2 linked regions of the Arabidopsis thaliana genome follow. The protein of the gene in region 2 interacts with the protein of the main gene of each other region in a pairwise test. Each region holds a gene or a part of one and is shown on either strand. Other genes may lie near its edges. The genes, in order: AT2G23070 and ARA-2.

Region 1 (17,708 bases), on a different chromosome or scaffold from region 2:
AAATACTTTTAGATAAATATATACATATAAACTAAAAATTCTGTACAAATTTTCAAATAAAATTTCTTAATTCCGTTTAGAATGAACTAAGTCGGTTTAACGGCATAATACACTTTCATATGTTTTTTTTTTTTTTTTTTTTTTTTGTTGAAAACACTTTCTTAGGTTCATGTATGAATACAGCATTCGTGGTTGGGTTGTCTAATATAAAATCCATGAGATTAGTGTATATAAATTAGGTTTGAATTTTTAAAACATAACATAAGCCATGGACCACATCGTATGACGCAAAATGTCGAGTGATTAGCAGACAGATTAGTGTTTTCCGGTCCAGTTTGTAGAATTCAAACATACATATCATTTCTTGTTATGATTTTAATATATGTACCTATGATTAATTGTAACGAATTTCAAACATACAAATTCCACGACAAATTCCTCGAGATCGGCATTGAAACGATCTTGATCTAATCCAATATTATTTTGATGATCCGTACGGTACATTATCACGTCCTTTTTTTTTATACGTAAAAATCATTTTCTTACATCGGCTAATTACGAATTACTGAACAGTCAAAAATAATCTTAATATGCAACAGAGCAAGTTAAAAATAACTAGAATTTAACGAATTGATTTTTGGCCTATCTAATTAATGTCGTTAACTAGTGGAGGGAGTGACATTGGATTAGTTCTGAAGTTTTCTAAAGTGTATTTTTGTTTTTTAAACAGCAAAGTTCAGAATTATATAAATAAATACATACTAATTTTCTTAGAATCTTTTTTTTATATAAATATTACATGTGAAAAATCTACCTAAATGGCTATTCAGTGTTTTAACAATAACTATTTTTCCTCCATTGACATGTAATATGCGTTTAAATTGGTTGAAACAAAGATACTAACACAAACTATAGTAGAGAAGTCATTGAAATTTTTTAAGCTTCCATCTTGTAATTTCCAATTTCATTTTCACACAACTAAAATACTTAATATCAATATAAAATTCATTATTGCTCCCGCTATTCCAAAATACTTGATATATATCATTTATTATTTATTTAAACACAATTCAACCAATATAAACAAACTACAAACTATAAATAGTAAAAGAAACCCTTTATCAAAAGTAAAAATAAATAAAATTTGTATAGAAAGATGAGAATATCACTTAATTTGAAAAAGAGAATTATCTAAAACATCATTTTTATAAAAACAAAACAGAGGGAGTATATGAAAGATTAGTAATCAAGAACAACGCTGACATGTACCCAAATTCTTGTCCAAGATATAAAGGCTCCAACCACAAATATATGAAGAAAAAAAAAAAATTTTGTTTTAGAGCTATAAATTTATAATTTAAAGTTAAAAAGAAAAGATTTCTTAGCATAATTTTATAAATATATAATTCATTATCTTTATTTTGTCAATAGATAAATACTTTACAGTTAGATCTTCAAAAATTGACCATAAAAGAATCTGACTACAAAGTAGAAGGTATTATGCCAACACTTTGATTATAATATGCAACTATATGATAGACACGAGAGTAATACAGTACATTTATACGACATTCTTGATACTCATGCATACAAATTTCAGAACAAACAGGTCAGTATGAATTTGAATTGAAGAAATTAACTGTTGCTTACGATTACGACATAAGAATCTTTATGAAATCATCGAGGATCCATAAACCATGTGATCTTTATTGATTATTAACCTATAGATTGACTTAAGAATGTACTTAGCTTGTAAACCCTAATCTTGTTATACCTTAATTTATTCAGCATATCATAACGAGGAGGAGGCCAAGACCAGTCAAGCCACGAGCCAAAGTTTTTTTTAGTTATTACTCACTGAATTAAAAGTAGACCTAGACAAAAATGACTAATATGCCCGTGATACGTCTCTTAGTTGTGAAAATGAGGTCCAGCTGTGAATGTTGGAGGGGGACAAAGCGGCGAGGGGAAGAGACAAAATCGTGTTGTCGTGTAGGAGAAACGTAACGAGATAATTAGTTGCTAAGGTTATGTCCAATCAAACAATGAAGTGGGTTTAGGTTACGGTCGGAGTGACTTATTATATGCATGAGATATCGTCGTAATATCGATGTAATTATCTTCTTCTTCATTTTTTCCAACGTTTGATAAATTTGAAAAAGTCTTTAAACTAGTTAGAAACACAAATGAAGAGTAATAGATTGAGAAGTTTAGTTCTGAATGGGACTGCTTGTTGACAATGATTACAGTATGTTTGTATAAGTCAATTTGAGAGCAACCGAAAGTTTTTATGGTTGGGTAAACTATGCATGAAATATGAAAACGCCATTTCAACCGCGTTTTCGAAATGATGATATCAAAACAATATTAATGTAAACCACGTATTTCTCACAATTATTTCGAATTTTAGACTAAGGTATTTAACTTCATACAATGATTAGTTTTTCAAAATCATTTGACTACTATATCAACAAATACTTGTATTATGGTAAACTTAATTAAATGGTAAGTTTTTTCATGTGGATTTATATCTAAAATCTAGGCATCATTTCTTTTACAAATACTCACTAGTTACTCATAATTAACCACAATAAATGTTATAATGACAAACTAATCATTTTTCTTACATGTCTAAATACACAGTTACATGAAAGTTTCTGGTATATAAAAGTAATTTAAAAATATCTTTTACAAATTGTTTATGATTAGATAGAAAAAGAGAGGAGACCATATTCATGTGTAATAAAGTCTAGCACTACAACCAAAACCATTTAATTGGCATGTGTTTATGTGTGCTAAAGTATGTTAATTTAAAATTATTTTTACAAGAAAAGCAGGTAATTAATTTAGTTAAATGTAATATTTGTGGTGAGGGCAGATTCCGACACATAGGCTAAGGCCTTAGCTCGTCCGGATCCCGGAGATTATGCACCTTGTCCCCATATACGCCTCTGATTGACTCATGAATCTTGCTTGTCTAGTGTCTACTACAGTATTACATGTAGTTAATTATACAAACTTATACATATTCACGATATGTCACTAGTTTAAGAGTTTTTTTTTTTTTTTTTTTTTTTTTTTTTTTTTAAGAGTGTTCAATCAAACTATACTGACATAATCTAATCCAAACCGAGTCAAAATAATCAATCTAAAAGCCGAACCATATATTCGTTTACGTAATTAAAAAATATATTTAAACGATCAAATCTGAACAAGAACTAAACGAAAAACAAAAGAATAAACCAATAAAAAACCTAGTTTTCTTAAAATGATAGATTTGATTGAAACTAGAATATGAACAAAAACAAAAATTCGTAACAAACTATTCATAATAAATTATATTATCTTTTGTAAGCTATATTAATAAAATAAAACAATATCAAAACTTCAAAATTTGAAGAAAAACTTACTGAAATTTGCCTTAATTAAACACCTTCACCTTGTGACCTCCATGTTAGTTATTTTAAAATATAATTGTACTTTTTGTTTTGTACATTATCAAAAGAGTTCTGTGCTTGAAATGACTTGAGACTATAGTACTTAAATATCTATCTACTCAGAGATATTGCTTTCAGCATATATTTCAACCTAAATATTATCTCGTAATTTTAGTATCTGAGAGTTTTGTGGTGGGGAGATAAATATGAGACGCAAAGCAAACTAGTGGATAGGAACGAGAGACAAAACAAAAGGGCATTAAATAGATGCTACAAAAGCTTTTTGATAGGGTTGTAGCTAGATATATATTTAACCTTGCAAGAAAAATCTGTTATATTAAAGTACCATCAATTCAGATTATTATTGAATCGTTATTTGTTACTGTCTCCAACCATCTTTTAAAAACCAATTCATCATTCAGATTTGCGATTAGAATGTAAGATTTACCGAAGTAAGTGAATAGATTATTATTATTTGGTGCAAAAGTGAATGGATTATTAAAAACCAGTTTCTGTATGTTCAAAAAGACGAAATCGCTCTACTAAGATATATGGACTTAGAATGATGACGTACGATTCAACTGCGGATGAAATGCGATGCGGTTCTAATAGTAATGAAAAAATATATATACACATATATGTAGATATTTGATATCTCATCTGTCTTGGCTAAGGACGATAAAAAGAGAGAAACATGGAAGTGAGACATGGAGCGTTGTCTACTGCTAATGAGAATGAGGTCATCATAGCTTCTGCCATTTCATCACTCTCGTCTTGTCAAATCAACGCCATTCATTATCATCATGATTCATACGCATCCCATGCATGGCAGACATAAGAATCAACTCTCTTTCTTGATGACTTATTTAGATAATCTTTGTTTTAACATGTCGTAACCATGTTTTATGATGAAATTTACGGAACATGGACACATTAATATTAACATTACATTAATTTACGTGTCAATGAGAGATATATAAAACGTTTAGGAACAACTAATAATGTAGGGTAAGAATGGCAGCAATGTCATTATGTAATATCTACGACTAGTGACCTACGTATAAGCACATCAAAGTACTCTAATTAAGTTTTTTAATCAACCGACGTCGACAAAAAAATATTGTGTCCCGATATGCATTCCTAAAACCACACAAGTTCATATGTATATATACTAAAAAATTTCCGGAAGGTAGATTATATAAACATTGTAATGTGAACCTGTTGATTCATCAGAAGTAACATCGGTCTAAATATCGGTCGGTTAAATATGAGTCACATATTATTGTACGTGGGTTTGAGTCACATCGATGTTCATAAAAAGATTTTGATTTACTCTTACCAAATTGTAATATGATTCGTTAGGTCTTAAACTCCACAACTTGAACAAAAGTATCTTTACATACTTTCCACTCAAGATAGAACTAAAAACTAAAAAATAGTAGGGAAGTGTGAAGTGTGCACACTGCACACGATTGTACACGAGTACGGTGGTTATATAGAGTTTGATTGATTCAAAAAGATGATTTGTGATTTTACGTACATGTATAATGTATTATCAGTGGATAATTTCAATTCAAATCTAGAAAAATTTTGAAACTGTAGATTTCTTACTCAAGTAAAGTTACAAACATACATGCTAGACGATCATTGTTCTCATTTGCCCTGCATGCTTCCTTTGATCACGTGTTATTAGTTCACCATGAATCTACGACATTATACAGAAATTATTCAAATGATAGAATGACACGTTCAAGATCCGATGATCCCATATCTAAATATGAAAAATGTAACGTTTCAATATAAAAACAGGAATGAAAAACAGAAAAATCTTTTTTATTTTTTTTTGGCCAGAATGAGAAAATCTTTATCACACGAAACTGATTATCTAAAGCATTCCAACAGAATACATCATTCAATAATCTCATTTACTCATACGCGTGAAATCTCACTTTGGATTAAGGTGTCAAAACTCAAAAGATAATCTTAATTCACAAGACTGCACACCGGTTATCAAACGTTTTTAATCGTTTCCAAAGTAAATATTTATTTCTCTTTTGGTGGATGATTTTCTCCAATAATTTGAAAAAAATAACTGATTGATGGATCATGGATGCATATATATACTGAAAATCTTGCACAATTATTAGTTATATATTTCCATATTTGGTTTCATATGTTTTAGACACAGCAATATCTTTGCGTGTGCGTAATTCACAAAATTTTAAGAGATGAGTAATTTTTTTAAGGCATCATTTTCAACAAGAAAGAAAGAGACAGACAGCTATATTGTAAACTAATATAGGATGATTGCATAATCATTTGGACAAAGGGAACCAGAGAGATTAAACTAAACTTAAAAGATATAAGACAGATAGGTCGAGGTTGTTCCACAGACACAGTACTCAAGATCGGATTACGTGCTTAATGTCCCCTAATCACTATTTGGATTAGATTAGAGATTCTTGTGCTTTCTTATGTCTACAGTTATATATCTAACTGACCGACCATCACTCTCTACTCCCGATGCGAGCTTCTTCTACCTTCCACGGAGCTGTCAAAACGGGCTAACTAAAACCGGCAAGCCAAACCAACCTGTCCCGCTCAAGAATATGAAATTTTCCAGAAAATTAAAAATGAGAAGAAAAGAAAGAAAAACCTTTTGAAACCCGTCTTGTGGATATTTTTTTTTATATAATAAAATTCAAATGAGTTGAATGAAACACTGAGAAAGAGCAAAACAGTAACACACGCACACTTGAGAGAATGAAACAATGACAGATCGATTTATAACAAATTTGAATCCGTAAAGAAATGAAAAATCAGAAGATTGAACAAGCAAATGTTTTCGAGATCACTGGCTGCGCGGCGTACGGCTGCTCTCTGCATTTCTAATCGGATAGAAATATGGATGCGCCTGTAAAAATCCATCATATTCTCTACTATCACTTATCTGTAATTATAAGAGAAAATCTTTAGAAAGATATTAAAGAAAAATTGTTGCTTACCATTGCTTCTTTAGCTGTTGGCCTTTCTTGGTGATCATATCTCAGCAACTTGTCCACAAAATCAACAGCCTTCATTAACCAAAAAGTATATGAAAACAAATGAGTCATGTTCGTCCAAAAAATCCGGTGTTTTGGTCTTAACATGAAGGCTTCATAATTGTATAGAGAAAAGTTAAGTGTTGTACCTCAGGAACTGCTAAGTGCTGGTTTTCAGAATTGATGAACTTTGTCCATGGCTTCCGGCTATGTCTATATAAAATCAAGAGTGCATAATTTAATGTTCTGAAATGATAAGGCGCAAAACTGGAGTTTTTAGAGTTTTTCATAACTTTTTAAACCGGATTACCTGCCCACGAGGGATGTTAGATTAGGGTCCAACTCTATACGGTATTTGTTTAGGTAGGCGTTGAGTTCATCTGTGCCAAGCACCTGCCATAGTTATAAATACATAGAATCGTATTTTTAGCTATAACTTGGAGGAATGTAAAATCTGTTCAGAGGAGACGAGACATGATGAAAGCTTTTGTAATGTTACCTTCGCAATTTTGACCAATTGATCATAGTTGTCATGGCCATAAAAGAACGGCTCCTTGCGGAATATCTGCAAACAGTAGAGTATACAATATTCACCACTTAACTAACTTAAGGAATGGTAAAATAACCAAAATGTACTGTCGAATTCTTGTCATTCCATTACAGCTTAAACCAAGTTAACTAAATTCTAGCTTAAAACGCTTACCATTCCAGCAAACATACACCCAAGACTCCATAGGTCTAAGGAATAATCATAGTCCTGTAAATCCACCAGCAGCTCTGGACCCTTAAAGTACCTGCTCATCAAATATGAAGTGAGAAATGATAATAGTATACATCAGCTAGACGAAGTTAGATAATATGTTTCAACTAATCTCAAGAGCTCAATGCATGCAATCTTCAACATTTCTTATCTAGACTCTCTATGAGCAGAAATTTAGCAACTGCAACAAATAGAATCTTGCAGAGGAGAGATTAGCAGATAGCCAAAAGGAACTACCTTGAAGCAACACGGACATTGTATTCTTTCCCAGGATGATAGAATTCTGCCAAACCCCAGTCAATTAAACGAAGTTTTCGCTGCTCGTGATCAATCATGACATTATGTGGTTTCACATCTCTGTGCATGATTCCACGTGAATGGCAGAAATCCAACGCCTGCATAAATGTTAAAAAGAAACAACAAACAGCATCAGAAACAAATTCGTACCCTTTATAACTGAAGGCTAGTGGATTCAAAAGTCAAGTAAGGTAAACAACAGTGTATGACGCTATACATCTATGATATATCTACCGATTACTTTTGCCAATTGCCAAAGCCGCAAAGAAAATCATGGTCTACAATTCAGGAAACTGAATAATTACCTTTAGAAGTTCAAAAATGTAATATCGAACATCATAGTCTGAGAGAGTTGGATAGAGAACTTTGAAATCTTTATTGTTCACATGTTCAAATATCAAGCTGGGCGTCTTAGACTGCTGATCTCTAACAATGTCGAGCAATTTTACAATATTAGGCCCACCGCAGAGGTTCTGCAGAATCTTAATCTCTCTCTTAATCTGCGTCAAGGAGAAGCAAAATATGTTAGAGAATAATTCAAACCAAGTGAAGGGCCAGAAACACACTTCATTCTGAGCACAATTGAGATAAAAACAAGCAAGCGGCTGTATCTACTCACCTTCTTCTTCTTCACAGGCTTCAAAATCTTGATAACACATTTCTCGTTATCAGTAGCATGAATGCCTTCAAAGACCTCACTGTATTTTCCCCTTCCTACCTTCCTCACCACCTCATAATCATCCTGTACACTGCGGCATCAATGAAGCTAACTCAAACACTAATACACCAAACAGTAACAACACCATACAAACTCAAGATATCAATTCAACAATCTAGTTCACATAGACCAGCAATTTTCAAGAGATTATATACAAACAAAACAGATACCAATACAAACAAATCAGATACCAATTCTGCATTACTTACGAGATTATATCATCAATCAAAAATATGAAACGAAACCCTAAATCTACATTCCACATTGATTCCAGAACAACCAATCCCAAACCAATCTATAACCAAAGGCAAACATCTAGAAATCGACGTAATTAGGTTTAATTAGAGAAGAATCTGAAGATATACCCCCATTGAACAGCAAGGGACTCGTAATCCCAATAGTCCTTAGGTCTAACAACGTTGACATCAGCGTAAACCCTAGCTTTCGACGGCGCACCGGCACGCCGGATAGATTTACCGATCTTCTGAGCCAGCGTTTCTGATTTTTCTTTCACGCGCGATTGCTGTTGTTGCTGATGTTGTTGTTGTTGATTCCGGAGATGTTGACGGTAAAGAGAAGCGCTGGATGCGAAACGACGGAGATTGTCCTGGAGCGAAGAGAGAAGAAGATTCCTCTTCGCCGGAGACGACGAAGAGAAGGAGAGGAGAGAGAAGAGATTGTTGTTGGCGGCGGAAGCGTTGCGAAGAGAGGAGATTGTGAATCCAGTACAAGGCCTTAAGGCCATTAATGTCTTTTTTTAACTCTTATTCAGAAAATGAAAAGTGAAGGTAACGAATTTGCTTTATTTCTCTCCTTTCTTTTTCTTTGGCTTCTCTTCGAAACGATGTCGTTTAAACAATTCGGTCCGGTTATAGTGTGATTGAAATCGATCCGATTGGGTTTGTTTCGGTTCGAGTGTGGTTGAATCGGTTCGATTTGGTTTAGGTGGTTTTTGGGTATCAGAGATTCTTCTTCAACCTTTTTCTAATCCTGCACAACGCACTTCTTCTGTTGTCATCATCATCGTCCACTTGAAACAAACCTGACGATCAAAGAGAAGATTGCGATCGCAAATTTCTCCATTTTTTCAGATCGAAATTGATGTCGAAAGCTAGGGTTTATACAGATGTTAACGTTGTTCGTCCTAAAGAGTATTGGGACTACGAGTCTCTCGTTGTTCAATGGGGGTAAAACTTCTAGCTTTAGAATTTTTCTTTGATGAATTTACGATTTTTGACTTCTTTTTGATAAATTTTCGGTGGAATTTGATTGATTTGTTGCCAAATCGAATTCGAAATCAGAGAAATTGGAATTTTTTAGGGTTTGGACTTAGGTCTCTTGAAGACACTTTGTTTTAAGTATCTATTAGCAAATATTGGATTTTGAAATTCAACAGTGTGAGATTCTTAAATACTTTTGTGTGATTCTTCAGTCATCAAGATGATTATGAGGTTGTGAGAAAAGTTGGTAGAGGAAAATACAGTGAAGTTTTCGAAGGCAAAAACGTCAATACGAATGAGCGTTGCGTTATCAAGATCCTCAAACCCGTAAAAAAGAAGAAGGTGATCAGTTAGTAGAACTCATTTCTGATGAATTTGCATACATAAAGATGGCTAATTTTGCTGAAACTTGATGTTATGCAGATAAAGAGAGAGATCAAAATACTTCAGAACCTATGTGGTGGACCAAATATTGTTAAGCTGTATGATATTGTTAGAGATGAGCACTCCAAAACACCTAGCTTGGTATTTGAGTTTGTCAACAGTGTGGACTTTAAAGTATTGTATCCAACATTGACTGATTACGATATCCGGTACTATATTTATGAGCTTCTGAAGGTAATGTATCGGTATTTACCATAAATGACTTTTACCGTACATACAAATGTTTATCGTGGAATCCAGAGCTGATGTTATTGCATTTCAGGCATTGGATTTCTGTCACTCTCAAGGAATAATGCATAGGGATGTTAAGCCTCATAATGTCATGATAGATCATCAGCTGCGTAAACTTCGTCTGATAGATTGGGGCCTTGCTGAGTTTTACCATCCCGGAAAAGAGTATAATGTTCGCGTGGCCTCGAGGTAATATCCGATACCACAGCTTAATTCCACCTGTCTTGGCAAGCCTAAGAGGGTCATTCGTAGATGCCAATGATTGAAACTTTTAGCTGTGCAATCAAAGCTTCTTGTAGTTGTTAAATGCATTAGACTAAAAACCTGTGAATTAATTGCCAGATACTTCAAGGGTCCCGAGCTTTTAGTTGATCTACAGGATTATGACTATTCTTTAGACATGTGGAGTCTTGGTTGCATGTTTGCTGGCATGGTGAGAACTAATAATCCCCTCACTCTTCTCTCTAGCTTCAATGCTGAAGCTATTGCAAGCATTTGAATTTCCGAATGGTAGTCGTTAATACTTTGCTGTTGCTTATTCACTTGTCAAATATTGATGCTGCAGATATTCCGTAAGGAACCGTTCTTTTATGGCCATGATAATCATGATCAACTTGTCAAAATTGCCAAGGTATATTGCTAGTCTATGACTTATTGGCATAAAATTACATTGTAAACTTAAATCCATGTATATGATTTCTGATTGAAACGTGTGCATAGGTGTTGGGAACCAATGAGTTAGATCATTACCTAAACAAATATCAGCTAGATCTTGACCCTCAACTGGAAGCACTTGTTGGAAGGTTTTATTCCATCCCTGAATCTCTCTGTCTTTAAAAGTCAAAATTGTTGCTGTTCTCAACTCTGGCTCAGTTAATTTTATACCAATGAGTTAAAACCTGAAGTCACTCTTATTTGTAGACATGTCCCCAAACCATGGTCCAAGTTTATCAACGCGGACAACCAACATTTGGTCTCACCTGAGGTACTACTCTTTTTCGAAAAACATAGTTTTGCTTCGTTCTGGGTGTATTGACTCATTGTATACATCTTTAGGCAATTGATTTTCTCGATAAGCTTCTTCAGTATGATCATCAAGACAGATTAACCGCAAGAGAAGCCATGGTAAAAATCCTCTTCATGTGCACACATCTTTTGATTTTGTTTTACCCGATGATCTTCATGTGCACACATCTTTTGATTTTGTTTTACCCGATGATCAAGTCAAACTTATAATCTCTGGTTTCTCTATTGATCTATAGGATCATCCATACTTCGCTCAAGTTAAAGCCGCAGAGAGCAGCAGACTACGAACTCAGTAAAACCGAAGCTTGATTGATGATGCTTACTACTATTTTTCAACCAAAAACTTTGTAATGATTTTGTTGTATCAAAATTGTGGTAATCTTTACTTTCATAGAAACATAATCAACAGCGAAAAGAAGCCAACTTATATTAAAAAAAAAGGTTCCACACAAAGCTTCATTATATAATCATAGCAAGAGACTTATTGTTGAAACAAGTAGAGAGAAATAGAAACCATAAAATTTGTCGAGACTTTGATACAAACATAGGAAAGATGAGGATCCATACGTTATACATTGGAATCCTTTATAGTTGAGATAATAGCTTTCATCACTTCTTGAGGTGAGGGAAACAAGCGACAACATCGGCTTTCGGATGCTTCGCCTCCGCGTGCTCCCTGCATTTCACTTCCGATGTCGTGCAGATGAATGTTTGCATACAAACCTTGCACTATATAAACACACACATCAACAAATAACAAGTTAATATAACACAAAGCTTCAGGATCAACAAGAAATAACAAGTTCATTAACACAAAGCTTCAGGATCAACAAGAAATTGTGCATCAACATGAGACAATTAAACTTACGTTTCATGACTACATAAACAATTCCAAAGGACTAATAATAATTGGATTCTTATTAAGAAAAGCTGATTCTAGTAACCAATAATTGTAATATTTCGATGATTTCGAAGACGATGATATAAAGTAATAAGTGATCACCTGAATCGACATAGCTTTCTTGTTAGCTTCCAATTGGCTACCTATAAGAGAGATCAAATACAAAAATCATTAAGAAACACGATTTTACGGCTAAAATCTCCATCTTTGAAATTGACTAAAAACCCCTAAAATTGAATCTGGTTGTTACCTTTTCCTGCAGCCTTAGCCTTCTCCAAGTTTTTGGCACGAGCCATGGCTGATTTCTGTGCGTTTCCTCCACCCATCTTTCTGATCGATTAGAAGAAGAACTCAAACCCTAATTTTTCAGAAGAGGAAGAAGAGAAAAATACGAAATGGAATTTTTATGCCGACTCTAATGTGAAAAGATTTATATGAGAAAGAAAAAAACGATGCCACTTGATTCTTTTTCTGTAATGTCCACTTACATTTAATTCGCCTACTCACCAATCACCTAAAGTTATTTTGGATTCTAGATAATTCAACATAATGGGCCTTCGGACTTATTATCCATTTAAGGCCCGTTAAAACAAGAACCTTTAACGTTTAAACGACTGAGGTTTTTTTTTTTTTTTTGGTCTGAATAAATCAGTTGACCAACACACAAATATGTTTTCAATCTAAACCAAGAAAAAGATTCTTTTTTGCTAATTGATAACCTGTACAGTTTATCTTATTCAAAGGAATTGAGACACTCACTCATTCATGCAAAATGATAGGATTAATATTATTCAGGGAGTGAGTGGTTTATATTGTTAACTTCTAAAAAAACTAAAACAAAACAGAATTTACAATTAAAAAATTAAAAATAAAGGAAAATTATTTTTTTGTTGTTTTAGGACAGACTCTAGTAAATGTCAATTTTATTAGGTCTCTATAAGCTATAACCTACACGATTTATCTTCTTCAAAAAAAATGAGTCACTCACTCACACAAAATATGACCGCTTTTTATTGATTGCACGAGCTAACTACTACCTTGTCTATTGAGTATAAGAGAGCAAATGATGGTATAGCAATGAACATCGAGATGATACTAAGAAAGATTGTCCGAAGAATCTCGATAGTAGTTCGAGCTATCAAACTTTAGAGGTTTAACTCACACTAACGCTCGTTTAGTAGACAACTCGTCAGTCAATTGATTTCACCCGGCGAATGAGTGGTTTCTATTGTTAACTTCTAGAAGAATTCATTTTGATTTTTTCTAGATGATTCCGTAATTTTGACATCTAACATATGATTTCATCATATTCTTTTCGGCCAAAACATGATTCAGAAATTTTAACATAAATTCAAATTGGGCAAAAAATCAAAATTTGGAAATGATTATTTTGTAATTTCTGTTTTAAATTATTATTGTGTTTTGATGCATATGCTATAAATTTTATCTCAAAATTATGGCTTCTTGAAATCTGGATTTGAGAATCTTGCATATTTCATGTTAAACCTTGAAAAATATGCAACATCATGAATCCTCATTATCCATTAGTTCTCATAAAATCTTATCTATTTTACTGAAATTTCCTAAGTATTTGAAAGAAAAACCTACAAAATCATAATTTTCATCAACATCATGATAATTTGGATTTCGCACCAAATTCGAATTATCTTGAAAATTGAACTCCATAATCTTCTAGTATTTCCATTGGTCTCACAAAATCGTTGTGGCCAAGATAATGTTTTAGGATCGAAGAGTAATTAAAAGAGCGATAAATATTTTCTTAAAAAGATCTAAGAGAGATTCAAATATCTAAAAAATCAATTTTTCATATTTGATATACATCTTTGGCGATTAGTTGCGTTGTGGTGAATTCAAACATCTAGAAACAACCAACGTTAAATCTTTGCTATGAACTTGAATTTTTTTGTTGCACACACATATAAGAAAGAAAAAAAAAAGACTAAAAAACATGTTCAAAAAAATGTGAAAGGCGATGTCAATGGTCAAGAAATATTATACAAAAACAAATTGTAACAAAATTTTGTGTAGCTTACTTCAACTTAAGACTATTTTTTGGGTGGGATAGTTATTGGGCCTTTTGGCCTGATAATAATATTGGGCTTCATTTCTTTTTGTGCACCACTTACATCAGTCAAGATCTCAAATTCTCTCCGACGTAATTGAGTTTTTTTGTTTGTTCTTTTACTTCTTTCTCCGGCTGATTTACCGGTGAATTTTGGATCGATGGGTGTCGTTATTGAGACCTTTATTTGGGAACCAAGCTCAAGCTTCTTCATCTTCTTCTTCGTTTCCACATTTTTATCGATATCTCTGTTTCCTTACTTGGCCAAAAACAGAACTTTTGGTAGCTTTGATCATTCTATTTCCTCTTCTTTCGCTCGGTTCCAGAGATGGTTTCTAGCTATCTACACTCTCTCTTCAGGTACATCATTAGATTTCTTCAGTTGGGTCTACAGATTTTTATCTGTATCTATGGTGCTTTCAATTTCTGGTTTCGAAAGCTTTCAACTTTTGCCTTTTCTCGTCTATCAAAATGGATCCTTTGCTACAATTTGAATTCTTTGATTGGAATGTGGCAGTGATGGAAGGTTTATTGTCAGTGTATGGAGAATTGGAGTTAACAACTTATGGCTTAAGTAAAGAATCAATGGTGTTTTATCTCTGTGTTGGTTATTCGACCGCTCTTGTTCTTGGTCCTGTACTTGGTGTGGTTTCTGATCTCATGTAAGTAGCTTTTAGTAAAATGTTGATCAAAGTGTTTTCATTTTGTGCTAGTAATGATAAATACCGAAACTTTTGTAGAGGTCAGAAGAAAATTTGTCTACTCTATTGTGTCTTGCACCTTATTGTTGGTGTGTGGAAGAGGATTACAATGAGTCCTAGTGCTTGGTTTGCAAATGTTTTTCTCTCCCTTGCTGGTCTTGTATATTCATTTGGGTTTGAGACTTGGCTTGTTGTGGAACATGAAAAGGTATATGGATTGGTCATTGCATTTGAGTTTTTATTATTAGATAATCAATGTTCTGATTTTGTAATGATGTTCTGTGTCTTGTATCTTTGTAGCAAAGTCAGAGGAATGACTCGTTAAATGAGACATTCTGGTTGATGACTTTTCTTGAGTCTGCATCTTTAATTGGAGGTCAAGTTCTTGCAAATTGGCTTGTGGGTGAAAATGTTCAGGATGGGATTGCATTATCTGCTACGGCGTCTCTGCTCTTGTCTGTTGTGACTATTATTTGTATTGTCCAGACTGCAAAAGAGCCGTTGAAGACCCTTCCGTTTAGGGATTATTCCACAGCTTTCTATGCGTATGTTCTTGGTGGTAAGATTTTGTCTTCATCTATTCAGTTAAAATTCCTGAAAGAGTATACGCTAATCTTAGCTTGTTAATGTGATCAGACAAAAGAATATGGTTTCTGGGAACTTCACAAGCCTGTCTTCAGTTTTCCACTGCAGTCTTTTGGATTCTGTGGGCACCAACAATAGTGGTATGATTAAGCTTCCTAATATAATATTTGCAGTTGCTTGAACCAAATTTTATATTTCAGAAATCAAATTAGCAATGATGGTTACTGTCATTTGATGTTTAGGACCTCCAGTGATTCCCTAATTGGCCTTTAGATGATAAAATTATTGGTATTTATTTCTCGACAATGGAATGATTAAAATGAGTTATGTTTGTTTAGGCTGATGGGCGTGAAGTGAATCTGGGATTGATATATCCATGTTTCTTGGGTTCAAGAATGCTTGGGAGTACTGTATTCCCATGGCTAATGAGTGGACAATCATTGCTCCGGCTTGAAGATTGCTTAGTCTACATATACGCACTACTTGGGATAGTGTTTTCTATAGTAGCCTATGATTATCAGGTAACTTATTTGCTTGTTTCACAAAAGTGTACCAGTGAAAAACTTATTTGCTTCATATGGAAGGCCTCACGCATAAAAGACCATATCCTGCAGGAAATCCGAATCTTAGTAGTACTTTTCTGCTTATTTCATGGCTTTGCTGGACTGGCACTTCCTTTGCTTGCAAGATTAAGAACAATGTAATGCTCTTATATATTTTTCCTTATTATTCATCAGAGACATTCTTTGTTAGTAGAAGAACCTTTCTTCTCTGTTGTAACGGACTGTTATCTTTATTTATAGGTATGTACCAAATGAATTGCGTGGAGGGATGATAAGCCTCTCTCAAGTTCCAGCCAATGCAGCTATTTTGTTTTTCTTAATCCAGGTTTGTGCTATCAAAAACACAATTGTTAACCTATTTTGCTTCTGTTTCTGTTACCTTACCGATCTTAATATTGCAGAGAGGCTACTCTAACAAGATCGAGAACTCAACAATGATGGCTCTTGGTGCCATTTCTTTATTCACTGCATCTGGTTGTATATATATGTTGAGACGATGGGGAAAGTCACCACACCATGATTGGCACAAATTATGATCCTGAGTAACTCGTGGTCTCTGGTTATGATACTTATGCGGAAGCAGGACAAGGCAAAACGAAGATAAATCTACTGGAAACTCAAGTTGGTCTATGATCTTGTGTTAATGGTCTCGCTTCGATTTTGTAGCAGCATGAAGTGAGGAAACACAAAACCTTGGAAGTTCAAAGATGCAATGAAAGCAGTATAAGAGGTTTGATTATTAGTTTAAGAGGATTCTATTATTTTAAATGATTGTTTGATTCATGTCTTATTAAGATCATCTCCTTTGGACCTTTTAGGCATTATTGTTTTACTAGTAAATATGAATGAAATTTTTACAAGTTACAAGTCAAATCTGAATTATCTTCAATCATATGTTTGGTCTCTTATCCATTTGGTGGCAACCCATTTCTCACCCTTGATAACAGGACAGCTTCCATGTAGAGATGTCTGCAACAACAAACCCAAAATTCTGAGAAAGATCAAACATTTTATGTCTTAAATGAGGTTTTTGATTGTCAGGAACACTAACTTGATCGATCGTTCCATTTGGAAACAAATTGTAGAAGAAAATGGCGTCTCCTTGTCGCGGCTTTACTTTCAGACCAACACACTTCTCATAATCATATCTTCCATTCATATTTCTCCCATTCTGCTTCCACAAAACCATTCTGTTTTACAACTCAAAATCCCAACCATGTTAAATCGAAAGAAAGAAACAATGATTACCTCGAATGGGAACATCGTCTCTCCACCTTCTTCGACACTCGATAAGAACAATAGGAAAGTCACGACCTGCATTCATATGTTGAGCCATGAGTGGAGGATCAACAGATGGTAGTTTTGAATCAACTTTAATAAAATCCGAAGCAAGAAAACGAAGTTAGGTTGCTTACTTACCCTTTGGCTTATTAGGGGACCATACTCTGCTGAATGGAAAGCATCATAATGTGAATCATACTTCTGGCCAAGCTGATACCTCAAGATGTTGAATGACTGGAGAATAAACACAAGAAGGTCTTATTAATATATTCATAAGTAGGTCTTATTGATCATATATGCATTGGTTTTGTATTGCTTACTTCGTAATAATCTTTGGGGAATCTTGTGGCTAAAGCTATTTTCTCTTCGATGGCAGCTAAAACCCCGGATTCGTCTTCATCGGTGTGCTGATGAAGACTC
Region 2 (12,768 bases):
ATTATTTTACAAAATCAGTATTTCCACTAATTTGAATACCCATCAAACCAAATCAAAAGCTTGAGCAATACCCAGATATCCAAAAATCAATGATATTTACTAATCATCCTCTATCACTGAGTAAAGAACAAAAATAAAAAACTGAGCTTTACGACAAAATCGAATGAATGATACATTCTTATCCTCTACAAGCAAGATCCATGAAATTACAACCCAAAAGCTAATCAAAAACGGAAGAAAGATTCACCTTTCAGATAAACGAAAATCTAAATCGGAGCGACCCGATCCCTCAATTCAGTAAAACACAGGAACCCGAAAACGAAAGAAACGAAATTTGAGCCGGAAAAAATCTGATTGGATTAGTGACGAATCGAGACTCACCTTTTTGTTCCTTGACAAATGAAGAATCTGATCTTCTCTATCTAACCCAAAAAAAAAAATGAAACGTGAAATTTAATCTAGGGTTTATATGAAAAAACTCGGAAAATAAAAATTAAAAAATCTCTGTTTCCAGCCTCATATGTGTATTTTGGAATAATATCATATATGCCCCTCTACTCTATAGACGAAACTACTATGACCACTATATATTTATACTCCAAAAGTCAAAAGTTTCTTACCATAAAGAGATAATACCCTTTTCCTTTTTATTTTAAAACAATTATAGGTTGGCCTTTACATACTTTTTCACAAATGATAGTAGTAAGAACACATTTGAAATTTTCACATATTTTTTATGAATAATATTTGTCGTCTAATACATCATTATTATAAAATATTTTAATATTTAATTTATAACAAATAATTTGGTATATTAGTAGGGAAAAACAACCATGAAGAATTTAAAATTGTTAGTTCAAAAGTATATATATTGGGTGTTCATGTGACATTATAAAAATATAGGGGAAAAATTAAAAACTAATGAAATAAAGGAGGGAAAGTGAAAATAAACGTAAAGTTATACGTATAAGAGTCGTAGTACATCGTGTGTGTATGGAAGCTCTCTTGGATATGAAATATTATTTTATGTTTTTGATATTTTTGTGTATTTTTAATAATAAAAGGTTTGGTTTTAGCTATGATTATTTACTGGTCAAATCGAAGGGGCTTAAGACTCTCCTCTGGTTACATTTAAAAGGAATCGAACGACCGTCACCGAGTCGTTGCTTTGCTTCGCTGTCCACAAGTACATGTCATTAAACAACGTACTTGAGGACCAATTGGATTTGTCCGTGACGTAGAAAGAAGGTGACAGCCTCAGTGGTAATAGCACTTCCCTTCCGTTTAGAAAATTTGGATAAGGCTAGTTAGCCAGCCGGACTCGCACTATTGCCAGCTGGCACGAGTACACCAATGAGTCCGTTACGCGCGAGGAGAAGCGCGTGGAGGATCGGACACGTGATATGGAGAAAGAACGTGAGGACGCGTGATGCCGTGTGCGATGCGATGTGTGGACCACTTTTGGGGCTAAAATAGCTAAGTGACTTACCAAACGTGTCTAGGACCTCGTTTTGGACCGTTTGACACGTGTCGAAACAGGGGACGCTTTTGAGCGTGTGGTGAACCAGAGTGATCAAGTGTCATACGTTTTTGTTTTGGATGGTATTCGTTAGTGGAACAGGAATTAATTAAAAATGGAAGCATATGGGAATAGATTTATTTATGGTTAATGTTGGTCTATAAAAAAACAAAGACTACTCCGTATGAAACTAGTTGGTCAAATTAATTGTTGGTTGCACATTGTCTAATATTGTCTTTAATGATTGATTAGTTGTAGGCTTGCAGTTACAACCTCGATAAGATTTTTGTGTTGTCAGATTGTAGTTGTTGTGATTTTTAAAATTGTACCTATATGTGAATAAATATATTGAGAAAACAAAATATATATACATGAGTCTAATTAGGATGATGTTATTGAATTATTGGGCTTTCAAGATTTTCCTTAGTAGAGAGATGGACCAGAAATGTTTTAGCTATTCTTTGTGTATGTTGCATAAGTAACACGATTGTTCGGATGGAGCAACATTATAGTAAGGTGTTATGTGAACCGTAGAAAGTTTCTGAGTAATACATAATTTCAAAAATTTATAATCTAATAAAAAAGTAAACTTGATATTTTTAAAAATCAATACAAATATCTCTAATTTTATAAACTCTCCAGGTTGCTAGCTAAGGAGTAGTAGCTACATTCATTGAAACCCAAACTTAAGAAAATGAAAGTAAATAGTATCTTCATCCTGAAGATAAATTTTAGAAAAGTAGGTGTATACTGTTTATTGTTAATCTTGTTAAATTGTAATTAGAAAACTGTATTAAGTTAAAAATGATTATGTTGTGAGTGGAAGTTGTTAACAATATATGGAGAAGATTTCCTAAAATGTGCAACTAATTAAGCGGAATCATCTTTTTAAAAATTTAAACTTTTTCTGTTCAAAAACAAAAAGAAGAAGAAAAAAGGGTGATTTAGAGCCAACCCGACAAAAGCTTTCATCGTCATCATCTGAATCATTAATTCATTATCATCAAATAATACAGCAGCAAGCAACACAGTAAAACCCAATTCCCTAATCCCAAAATTCGATCTCTCATCTGATGGCTGGTTACAGAGCCGATGAAGAGTACGATTACCTCTTCAAGCTCGTGTTGATCGGCGACTCTGGTGTCGGCAAATCGAATCTGCTCTCTCGGTTCACCAAGAACGAGTTCAATCTCGAATCCAAGTCTACTATTGGTGTTGAGTTCGCTACCAAAACCACTAAAGTCGAAGGCAAAGTCGTCAAAGCTCAGATTTGGGATACTGCTGGTCAAGAGAGGTCAGATTACGTTTCCTCTCTTGCTTTTTTTTTCCTGCTTACTTTATTGAAAATCCTTAGGATAAGGTTTTAAAAAACCATCCTTTTTGGCTCGATTTCGTTGTTGAGTTCTTGTTGGATTCGCTGTTTATGAATTCATGGTGTTTGATTTATGTATCTGAATCTGTAGCCTGATTTGGATATTACAAGTTCAAAGTGTCTTGTTCATTTTTCCTTGTTGGTTTACTAGTTACGACTATTTGTGGCAGAACTAGAGTTTTCTGGTTTTCGGAACGAAACTGGTTGTGTCTGAATTTGTAAATCTCTTAGACTTGAGCAACTTTCAATATGGTTCAGAATCTCAATTGTGCTGAATATCGCTCGCAGGCTGCAGTTTACTCGGAATATACTTTTAGGTTTTATTCACATTTGGGCTACTAATGGTTTTCTTTTGTGGCATAGCTTCTGTGTTTGTAAGATTCTTGTTCATAGATCTGTATCCCTCATATATGGGTCTACTTGATTAGCTTATTCAATCCTCTCCTGTCTAGGTCAATTCCCGTTGTTAAAATGTTGTTTGTAGATATCTGTTATCTAAACCTCGGTTACTATACTAGTATTGTGCTGTTCCATCCGTTTCACACATTGATATTTGTCTGAGCTCGTCTGTGATGAACTTCTGAACCCAATATACTTGTTGAAAACAACATTTCTTTCATCTCCTCTGTCTTGTCTTGCACTAGACATAGATAACATTTTGAATTTTGCAGCAGAATTCTTCATTAACTCTGCGATTGTAACTTTACAAAGTAACCATTTGGTAGATGGATACCATGTAATATGGTTATCGAAAATAGTCTAACTTTGTGTACTTAATCTGTAATGTTACTGAACTTATTATTGTAGTTGTTATTATATCTTTGTTAACAACATCTGAGAAAATGCTGGTTTTGTTTATGCTATGATAGATACCGAGCAATCACAAGCGCTTATTACAGAGGAGCTGTTGGTGCTTTGCTTATTTACGACGTGACAAGGCACGCAACATTTGAGAATGCAGCAAGATGGCTAAGGGAACTAAGAGGACACACAGACCCAAACATAGTGGTGATGCTTATAGGGAACAAGTGCGATCTGCGTCACTTGGTGGCAGTCAAAACAGAAGAGGCTAAAGCCTTTGCTGAGAGAGAATCCCTCTATTTCATGGAGACTTCAGCTCTAGACGCAACCAATGTTGAAAACGCATTCACGGAAGTGCTCACTCAGATCCACAAGATAGTGAGCAAAAGAAGTGTTGATGGAGGAGGAGAGTCGGCTGATTTACCGGGAAAAGGAGAGACGATAAACGTTAAAGAAGACGGATCGGTTCTTAAGAGAATGGGTTGCTGCTCTAACTAGAGTGGGGGGATTGTAGATTTGGCTTGATTTGGTTAGGGTGAGACAACAAATGATAATCTCTTTGGGTCTTGCAATCAAAAAAGAAATAAGAAACGATTACTTTTAAGATCATGTGTATGCTTTGGTAACTTTGGCCTGTAAGGTCCTTTAAAATTTAAGTACATGATTGGTAATTTGTTTTCAACACTCCCACCACTTGTAATTTGTAAACTTGTAATAAACTGAAGAAATGCAAATCATCACCTACGTAACATTTCGAAAATAGATCTAGCGACTTTTAATTTAAGAGGATGATTATTTATCCCTCTAGTCTTTTGTGTTGAGAGAAGAAAACAAAAAAACATCTGTAGCTAATCTTTTGGACATGACATGGTTTAATATTATCACCTCGTTTTTCTTTTGTCTCTACGTATCTGTCAGAATTGTTTTACAGACAAAAACATATACAAAAATACACGAGGAACAGTGTCTCTCTCCACTCTCCAGGCTACGGAATAAAAAAAAAAAAAACGCAATTATCAGCATCTGATTTCTCAAAAAGCTGAATATGACTTTACTACGGGTATAGAAGCTGATAATAGTCGTGGTTAATATACTGTTGAACCTGTCAACTATCAAATAAAAGTAGTAAACCTGCTTTTCTCCTCTTTCTCTTCAGACATGCACAGTTTTTAACTGTTTTGTAATCCTGTGCTCATTTGTCGTCTCACATGCTCAGGTATTAGCCTGTTGATTAGCTCCATTGAAGCTCCACCTAACTGTTTCCACATCCAAAGAACAAATTGGGTTATGTTGAAGTTCCACTAAAGAAACATCATCCTTTGCTATTGATTTTTACCTCTTGTTTGAAATTGAACAATGGCGGTAATGGACGACCATTTGGAAGACGGGCGTTTGGCTCTCGGAGTTCATTGAAAAACGGATGAGCACATGCTTCGAGCTAAAAATAGACAGAGAACAAGACAAATGTTAAAATGAATCTTAGCTTTATCCAACACTTGGAAGATTCAAAAAGAGTTATCACTGACGACTACTTTCGATTATAAAAAAAAGAGGGAGATACTGACCGCAGTGCAGCGTAGACTTGGTGAATATTGAAGAAGCCGAGATGCAAGGTCTATTGCTTCTGGAGGCATCCGTTTATGAAAAACCTGGAGGTCAAGGGTACAGTATATGGTTGATGCTATAAATGAATCGCTTCAATGTATACTGTGTAGGTAATGAGTTCAGTAATTGCTTAACCAGGAACAAAAGGTGAGATGAACTACCTTGTGCCAAGGGTGAGCTTTGATTTGTGGGAACCTAAAATCTGTGTAGTTCGGGTTCATACATCGAATTTCTTCACGAGTTGGAGTACCAAGAACCTAAAACAAGGTAGCAAGTGTACTTATGGTAACATATTTACTAGATTCTAGTCTAATACCAAAGACAAAAAAGAGCACATCCATTAGTCTAATAAAGGAGACTTCACCTTTATGATCTCCACAAGCTGATCAACTGAATTTTCTCCTGGAAATAACGGCTGTAGAGAGAGAGAGAGACTGGCTTAATATAACATTGGGTGCGCACTTTTTGCATTTTGCAGAGACTCTTTATTTAACAAGGTAATTAACGCATAAAAATCCACACTAACCTGGCCCAGAAGAAGCTCTGCCAGTACACAACCAGCAGACCATATATCTATGGATGCTGTATACTCTGTGGCGCCAAAGATCAGTTCTGGAGCACGATAATAACGGGAGCAGATATATGATATGTTTGGTTCACCTTTGACCTAATAGTGAATTACCAAAAATTTAAAAGGGTTACCAAAACAGAGAACATGCTGCTCGCACTTAATGGTATAACTCACACTTATATGGTAGCTCAGTGAACTAGATGCGTAGATACATAACCAAGCCGAAAACACACAAAAAAGGTGAGATAATGAAAAGATAACACCCTTACCAATACTTTTGCACTTCCAAAATCACACAGCTTAACCTGATGGGTCAAGGGATCAACCTACAGTATGCACCAGAAAGTGAGATCCAGAAATAGTCAAGATTACAAACCACATGGCATGCTAGATAACGTACCAAGAGATTTTGTGGTTTCACATCTCTGTGGCAAACACCGGGAACAGTATGGATGTAAGCCAAACCTCTAAAGATCTGCACAATAGATATTTCAAATCAGTTTCAGAGTAAATTCTAATAAATTATAATATTTGTGAGAACTAACTGCAAATAACAGTACATACTTGATATGTGTAAAGCTTGACATAGAAAATTGGCATCCTCTGATTAGAACTAGTATAGTGCCTCAAAACCCGGTATAAAGTCTCAGGTACATACTCCATAACAAGGTTGAGGAAGAGCTCATCTCTACTCGTTGTAGAGAAGAAACAGTGCTTCAAGGAGATGACATTTGGGTGATCCATTGGTCGCATTAGTTGCAACTCACGGTTTTTATAGCGTCGATCTTGCAAGACCTTTTTAATGGCTACTGATTCTCCAGTTTCCAAGCATTTCGCCTAAAATCGTAAATTTCAGACTTGATCAGAAAGAAAGAAGAGAATTTATGTCCTGGAACCGCTAGTACAGAGAAGCACAAAATACCTGAAAAACAATCCCGAATGAACCTGTTCCAACAACCCGCTCAGCCATGTAACTAATGGTCTGTAGGGGACAGAATGAAGATCATGTAAGGGAGAGATGAATTAATTTGACTTGAAAAAGGGTTTTAATGGGAAAGTAACACTTGCTGGAGCATTTGATGCGAAATGAATAACCCAGACCCCGCAGAAACCTTACACATGGTACTGTGCTATAACCGTAAGTGTTAACTACTAGTTAGTTATCTAAGAGATTTTGCAAACATTAGCATCAAACCTGCTTTGGTTCGCCGTTTTTGCCTCCAATAGTAGTGGAAATGATATGACCAGTAACAGCGTCATTTCCCTCAATAACAGCTGCAGACATTTCCTGCAATCCACCTCACATATTAGTATAGACATTAAACTATTTTGATCAACTACAAGGTGGAATAGAGATGGCAAGCATTTACTGCATCCGATTATTTCAACAAACCTCAGGATAGGTATGACTGTATGAGAATGCTGTTATTGCTATTATACAAGTGGTCGGAATTAACTTATATTGAAAACGTGAAGCTAACACATATAAAATGTACCAACTAACCAGTTGTCAAGCCAATAGAAGCACTCAAGCAAGATGCAGAAAGAATAAGAAAAATAAAGTAAAGCATGGGTTAACCAGAGGTAAACAATGGTGATAGAAGTTCAAAAATGTAGTGATTTTAGACGTCAAACAATTTATGGGTATTAGATATAGAACAAAAAAAAAAATCATAGATACAAAATACAAGTCAATGGAAGAAGTTCTGCCAGAGTGAAGGACAAGCCATAAGACAAAATTCAGAATAAATGTCGATGGCAAATAGAAAAGAGAGAGAGACAGAGACAGAGAAGCAATGGGCCAAGAAAACCATAACTAAAGGAATACTCCGAAACCTACCGAGAGTGAATTCAGAGATCTACAAGTAAACTGTACTTTGTAGAATGAACAGTGTTGAAATAAATAATATCCAAACAAGCAAATTGTTGTACTTGAAAGTGAACAGTGTTGAAACAAACAATCGAAATATCCAAAAACAAATATGAAGGGGAAATATTCAACCTAGTTTACTGAAAATGTAAGTTTCCCAAGCGCAAGAAACTATCTCAAATTATTTTACACTAAATTTTTCAACAAGATTCGAAGATTACTGCTACTTAGATCTCCGGTAGAGAAGGTTGAAGTAGTAGCTGGGAGATACCAAGAGTAATCTAGCTACTGCATGCATACAAATGAAGTAAAAATCACAGTCTCCTATCAAAACGCCTCGTCGGAGAAAGAAACAAAAAAACTCTCCGGTGAGCTCAGATCAATACAAGCGACGAACAAACACAAGAGCACGAGAATATAGATCGATTCGACTGAACTAAGACATAGAACAAAGAAAGTAGGAGCTAGATCGGAGTAGATCTAGAACAGCCACCAAACGATAATTTCAAATGCACTGTTTACCAAACACAGACGGTAACAGTAACACACAAAACAAAGAGACGGGGAGAAATAAACCTTATCAGAATCCAATTCAGGACGGCGTTTCAAAGCGTCGCCGTCGTGAAGCTGCAGCGGCGGAGCAAGAGCATGAGGCTGAGGCCCCAATGGTAATGAGGCCATGTGCTTTTTTACTCTTTTCTCTCTCAACCACTGAACAATGAGTAAAGTCTAATTTTTCCTCTCTCTTTGCTTCTAAATTTCAGAAATGGTTCAAAGACAATGGAGGACCCACGGAAGACTAGAGCGCGTGAATGTAACGGTCCAATGAGAAAACTACTTTTTAATTGATAAAGCACTGAAAAATTCTGATAAACACTTCCTTAGCATTTAATGATAACTAAATTACTAAGTTGAGTTAGAACTCCATTAAATATTCTAACTGAATAATAATGGTATCAAATGAATGAATACTCCAATCATATTTCCCAATTTAGATATTAAGCTTAACTTAAAGAGACTTTTCTTTGTCCCTTTAGCCTGAAGTGTTGCCTTTGTAAGACAATAGTTAACGATAGATTCTTTTTCATTACACTAACCAACAAAAGAATTACAGTTAGCATTCATACAAAGATAAAATTTAAGTTGCAAAGGGCTAAAAAAAATGACGATGAGACTAGTTTACGAAAATGTAAGATTAACAAGCAGTAGTGGGGAACGTAAACTATACAAAAATAAGACTCTGAGTCAAAGGGATTGGAAAGTGAAAAGATATATAACCGTTACTGTGATATCGAACAAGAACAATTGTCAAACAAAGAAAGATCAATGGAATCTACCTTTGTGGAGAGTAATTCAATAGAGTAGGAAAACTAATATTCTTTCCAATACATCACCAAAAACCATCTTTTTTAGAGAATTCATGTGACTATATATCTGCATAACAAAAGAAGATACCAGTAAAATCAATCAAAAGACCCACTCATGGAAATTTGTATTAAAACCATCTGTTTCACTCTAATCAATCTAGACAGTTTTGTTCAGTCTAGGCATTATCTTAAACATTACAGCATCACAAATTCCACTAAGAAAACAAACCAAAACTTGTGACTCACTGGAACCAGATCATCCATCAGCTTCTTTAAACAAATTCATCAAGCAACTGATTGATAAACAGGCAATGCCAAGCTCTCAAGTAACTTGAGATGAAACAATTTAACATTCTTCCATCTACCAGGAACTAAATCACCAATCCCATTCATGGCCGCTACAACATTCTCTGCAATCTCGTTCCTTCCCATTGACAACTTCGCTACTTTAACAACACTGCAAGTACCTGTACCAACGAAGAACAAAGCTGATTCACAAGCTTTTTCGATCTGCTCTTTCCAACTACCATGCCTTAAGTTAATCGCAATCGGAGTCTTATTCTTCTTAACAAACTCTTTCCCCAACAGCTTCGGCAACATCGGCATTAGCCTCCTCTCCGCGAAATACAACTCGAATCGCTTCTCCTCCTCTAATTTGCGTAAATCGGATTTCAATTTGGAGACTTTAATAACTGTGGTGATTGGAATCTTCTCTGCTTCGATCTTCTTCAAAGCCGCTTCCTTTGTGATTTTGTTCTTGTGTTTGTCGTCGATGATCAAACAGAGCTCCGGCGGATCTTCGGCGACCAGATCGATGAGAGGATGAGGAAGAGGGATCATCAAGGGGTTAGTACGATCCAACTGAGGGATTCTCTTCAGTGTCACGATTAGATAGACGAAACCGTCGTTCTCGAGTGATTCAGAGTTCTCGGTCTTGGATTTGGAGTCCCACCATTTTAGCAGAGACTTCACGGCTCTGTTAACGTTCTGCGGGTCAACCTTCGACTGGTGTCGCTGCGGAAGTGCAGCCGTAGTAGTAGTAGTACTCATTCTCCGGTGAGAAGACGGCGCAATGAACACAGGTTACGTTTGCGGAATTAGGGTTCTGAGCAAAAATTATAGGGTTTACGATTTTTTTCTTTTTTTTTTCTTCTTTCGACATTTTATTCGATTTTTTTTTTTGTAAAACTCAAAAATTATATGCGTTTTATTAATGATGCGCCACTTTATCCTTTTTTCTGGGGGTAAAATTGTCATCTGCTCAATCGTTTTCTCTGACCGCCGGCGAAACTCTTCGCGCTTCCCCGACTGCCGGCGAAAATCGACGCTGCTTCCCGTTTCCGGTTAATTAAGAGCTTTCCTCTGTACCTCTTCAACTCATTGTAGGCTGCGTCTTCTTCAATGGCAACAAGGAAGCGGAAGAACGCTGATTCGTGTAGTGACGCTCTTCTAAATCAGAGCGAATTCGATCTCCGAGGCAGATATTCTTATTCAATTATCTCAATCCCTTGGCACCGTATTCTGGTAATGTTTCCAAAATAAAGATAAATTGCAATCGCTTTAATTTTCTGATTTTGTGGTGAGTGATTGAACCTGTGTCAATTCTATGCTGCTGAGTGTTTCTCAGGTTGATCATAATGGATAGGTGCGCCGTGCGGTCATTTGACATTGCGTCCCATTGTATAAAGTTCTTCATGTGACGGGCCTTGATACTACTTCCTACGTAATGGTCAGTATACTTCTTCATTATTTTACAAGAAATCTTGAATTGTGGTATTAACAATGTGTTGTTACTTTTGCAGATGATGTAAAAGCTTTTTTGGTCTACTAAGAAGATAAAATTAGAACCTGTTAATATTGATTTTGAATATAGGCTTCTCCAAAATCTGATGTTACTGCAATTCCAATAAGATTTGCCTAGGTTAATGACGAACAAAGTGAAGCCAGCTCACCATTACACTATGTTGATAGTTCCTAGTTCCTACTATGTTGAGAGGTTGATGTAACCGGAAGTGAGTTAGAGATCCCAGATCCCTCTGTTTCCTCTTTATTCGTTTTTGCATTTTAACTCTGCAGCTGTATTCTTTAATGTTAGTTTTAATGTTTTGTATTGAACATTTCATTGCGCTTACTAGCTTCTGCTGTGTTAGGTCTTTGGTCCTCGGTTTCACCTGTCTGTTGGACCGTATGATATGCTGCTCATGGGTCATTGTGCCTCTCAATTTTCTGAAGCTTCCTCTCATCCGGTGGAGACTATTACGGAACTCGCTCATGGCACTGGTACTATTTCCTGTCATGCTTTTCACTTTCACACTTTTTTTCATTGCGGGAATTATCAAGTCTACAAATCAAAAGCTTTTATCTCTTATCCAATGGATCTTAGCAGATATATACAGCATACTCTGCCATAAGTAATTCAGGTAATATGGATGTACTTGAATAAATGTAAACTACACATGGGAACATCTTTTCATTGTGAATTATGTTTTCCATGTCGTTTACTCTGATTATGAATGACAGGTTTGTGCTGCCTGTGTTACCCATAGCTTTGATATTCTCTGGGTATACATTTGCTCAAATGGAAGCATCTGATTTATCATCAATCATTAAAGAGAAGCAAGTCCCTGGAAATAACCATATCATCAAGTGGTCTCCTAAACTAAGACTTCCAGTCTTCATTTTGCCTGCTACCAATATCCCGAGGCACTACACATGAGTTTATTCTATCAAGTTAAAAAACTAAACACTCTAGTTTATGAGTTACTCTCTTTTTCTTTCTTTCTAATTGTGCTAAAAGGAATTCTTGTTTTCTCAATGGACACGAACCAAGGATGCGATGTACAGACTTATCGGAAAAAAGGATACAAAGGGAGAGTAAAGAGCATTCTCTCTCTCATGCCAAGCCATTCGACTCCTTATTATTATTATTCCACTCTCCATAGTAACATTCCAATGCGATTTCTCGACTACACACCAAGGTAAATGGATCACGCCCCTGAGTCACAGTTTTTGCTTCTATGCGATTCTTAAGGATTCTTCTTCTTATTATTTTGAAACAGCGAAGACATTAGGAGATTTTGATGAGTCAGACCAATTCTTAATGGACCTTTTAGGATTGGCATCAAAGTTAGCTAGAAATTGGCCAGCACGACCGCGTCACATATTATTGTTTGCATCGGAAGCAACAAAACTCAGAGGTTTTATGATCCACTATTCCTTCCAAGAGGCAAGTTGAAAAGCAGGACCACCATTTTTTTCCAACGCTGATGTTATTCGTTTAGTAGACTAAAATCTGTTTTGTTGGCAATGAAACAGGTCAAAAGTTTTTTCCACACACATTTCAAGGTTTATAGATACATCAAATCAATCCCCACTAGTCATCTATGCTAAAAAATACTGACTCGGTCTAACTTCGCGTGTAGCTTTTTTTTTTTTTTTCCTGTTACCAAAAAACACCTTGATGTTATGGTGTTTCTGTCTGAACCACATGAATGCACTAGTTGATCAGGTCGGTACACAAGTTAAAAAAACGAACTCAACGAAAATGTCAAAAATTCTCAATTATTCTATTTGAGTTTTATTTTGAATCTGTTTTACTCTCTTAGATCATATGTTCGAGTTAAGAGCTTTTAATTTATAGCCCCGCGAAGTTTCATGATCAAA

The links.
Region 1: the proteins of ARA-2 (region 2) and AT2G23070 interact in a protein complementation assay, tested with the Arabidopsis thaliana proteins (one large-scale study listed by BioGRID).

What each region holds. Positions count from the first base shown.
Region 1 is NC_003071.7:9,817,874-9,835,581, forward strand, and holds AT2G23070 (Protein kinase superfamily protein), read right to left. Parts: upstream 9,026-17,708; 5' UTR 8,999-9,025; coding exon 8,619-8,998; intron 8,285-8,618; coding exon 8,155-8,284; intron 8,036-8,154; coding exon 7,841-8,035; intron 7,634-7,840; coding exon 7,476-7,633; intron 7,273-7,475; coding exon 7,182-7,272; intron 7,044-7,181; coding exon 6,978-7,043; intron 6,872-6,977; coding exon 6,789-6,871; intron 6,692-6,788; coding exon 6,628-6,691; intron 6,512-6,627; coding exon 6,443-6,511; intron 6,352-6,442; coding exon 6,289-6,351; 3' UTR 5,769-6,288; downstream 1-5,768. Other genes in the region: AT2G23067 (Putative membrane lipoprotein), read left to right, coding at 4,132-4,275; CKA3 (Protein kinase superfamily protein), read left to right, coding at 9,355-9,440, 9,686-9,815, 9,897-10,091, 10,180-10,337, 10,491-10,581, 10,714-10,779, 10,869-10,951, 11,070-11,133 and 2 more; AT2G23090 (Uncharacterized protein family SERF), read right to left, coding at 11,784-11,903, 12,178-12,218, 12,326-12,401; AT2G23093 (Major facilitator superfamily protein), read left to right, coding at 14,320-14,518, 14,676-14,820, 14,899-15,067, 15,160-15,418, 15,496-15,584, 15,783-15,965, 16,059-16,144, 16,248-16,332 and 1 more; P4H13 (2-oxoglutarate (2OG) and Fe(II)-dependent oxygenase superfamily protein), read right to left, coding at 16,893-16,976, 17,059-17,178, 17,256-17,321, 17,427-17,522, 17,609-17,708. UniProt on the Arabidopsis thaliana protein: Casein kinases are operationally defined by their preferential utilization of acidic proteins such as caseins as substrates. The alpha chain contains the catalytic site. Involved in the regulation of various developmental processes.
Region 2 is NC_003070.9:1,942,511-1,955,278, reverse strand, and holds ARA-2 (Ras-related small GTP-binding family protein), read left to right. Parts: upstream 1-2,398; 5' UTR 2,399-2,592; coding exon 2,593-2,813; intron 2,814-3,760; coding exon 3,761-4,190; 3' UTR 4,191-4,683; downstream 4,684-12,768. Other genes in the region: GSK1 (GSK3/SHAGGY-like protein kinase 1), read right to left, coding at 4,862-4,948, 5,029-5,130, 5,258-5,341, 5,459-5,554, 5,662-5,712, 5,824-5,964, 6,138-6,194, 6,269-6,343 and 4 more; AT1G06380 (Ribosomal protein L1p/L10e family), read right to left, coding at 9,391-10,155. UniProt on the Arabidopsis thaliana protein: Involved in auxin-mediated response. May be involved in vesicle trafficking of components involved in polar auxin transport. Binds GTP and GDP and possesses intrinsic GTPase activity.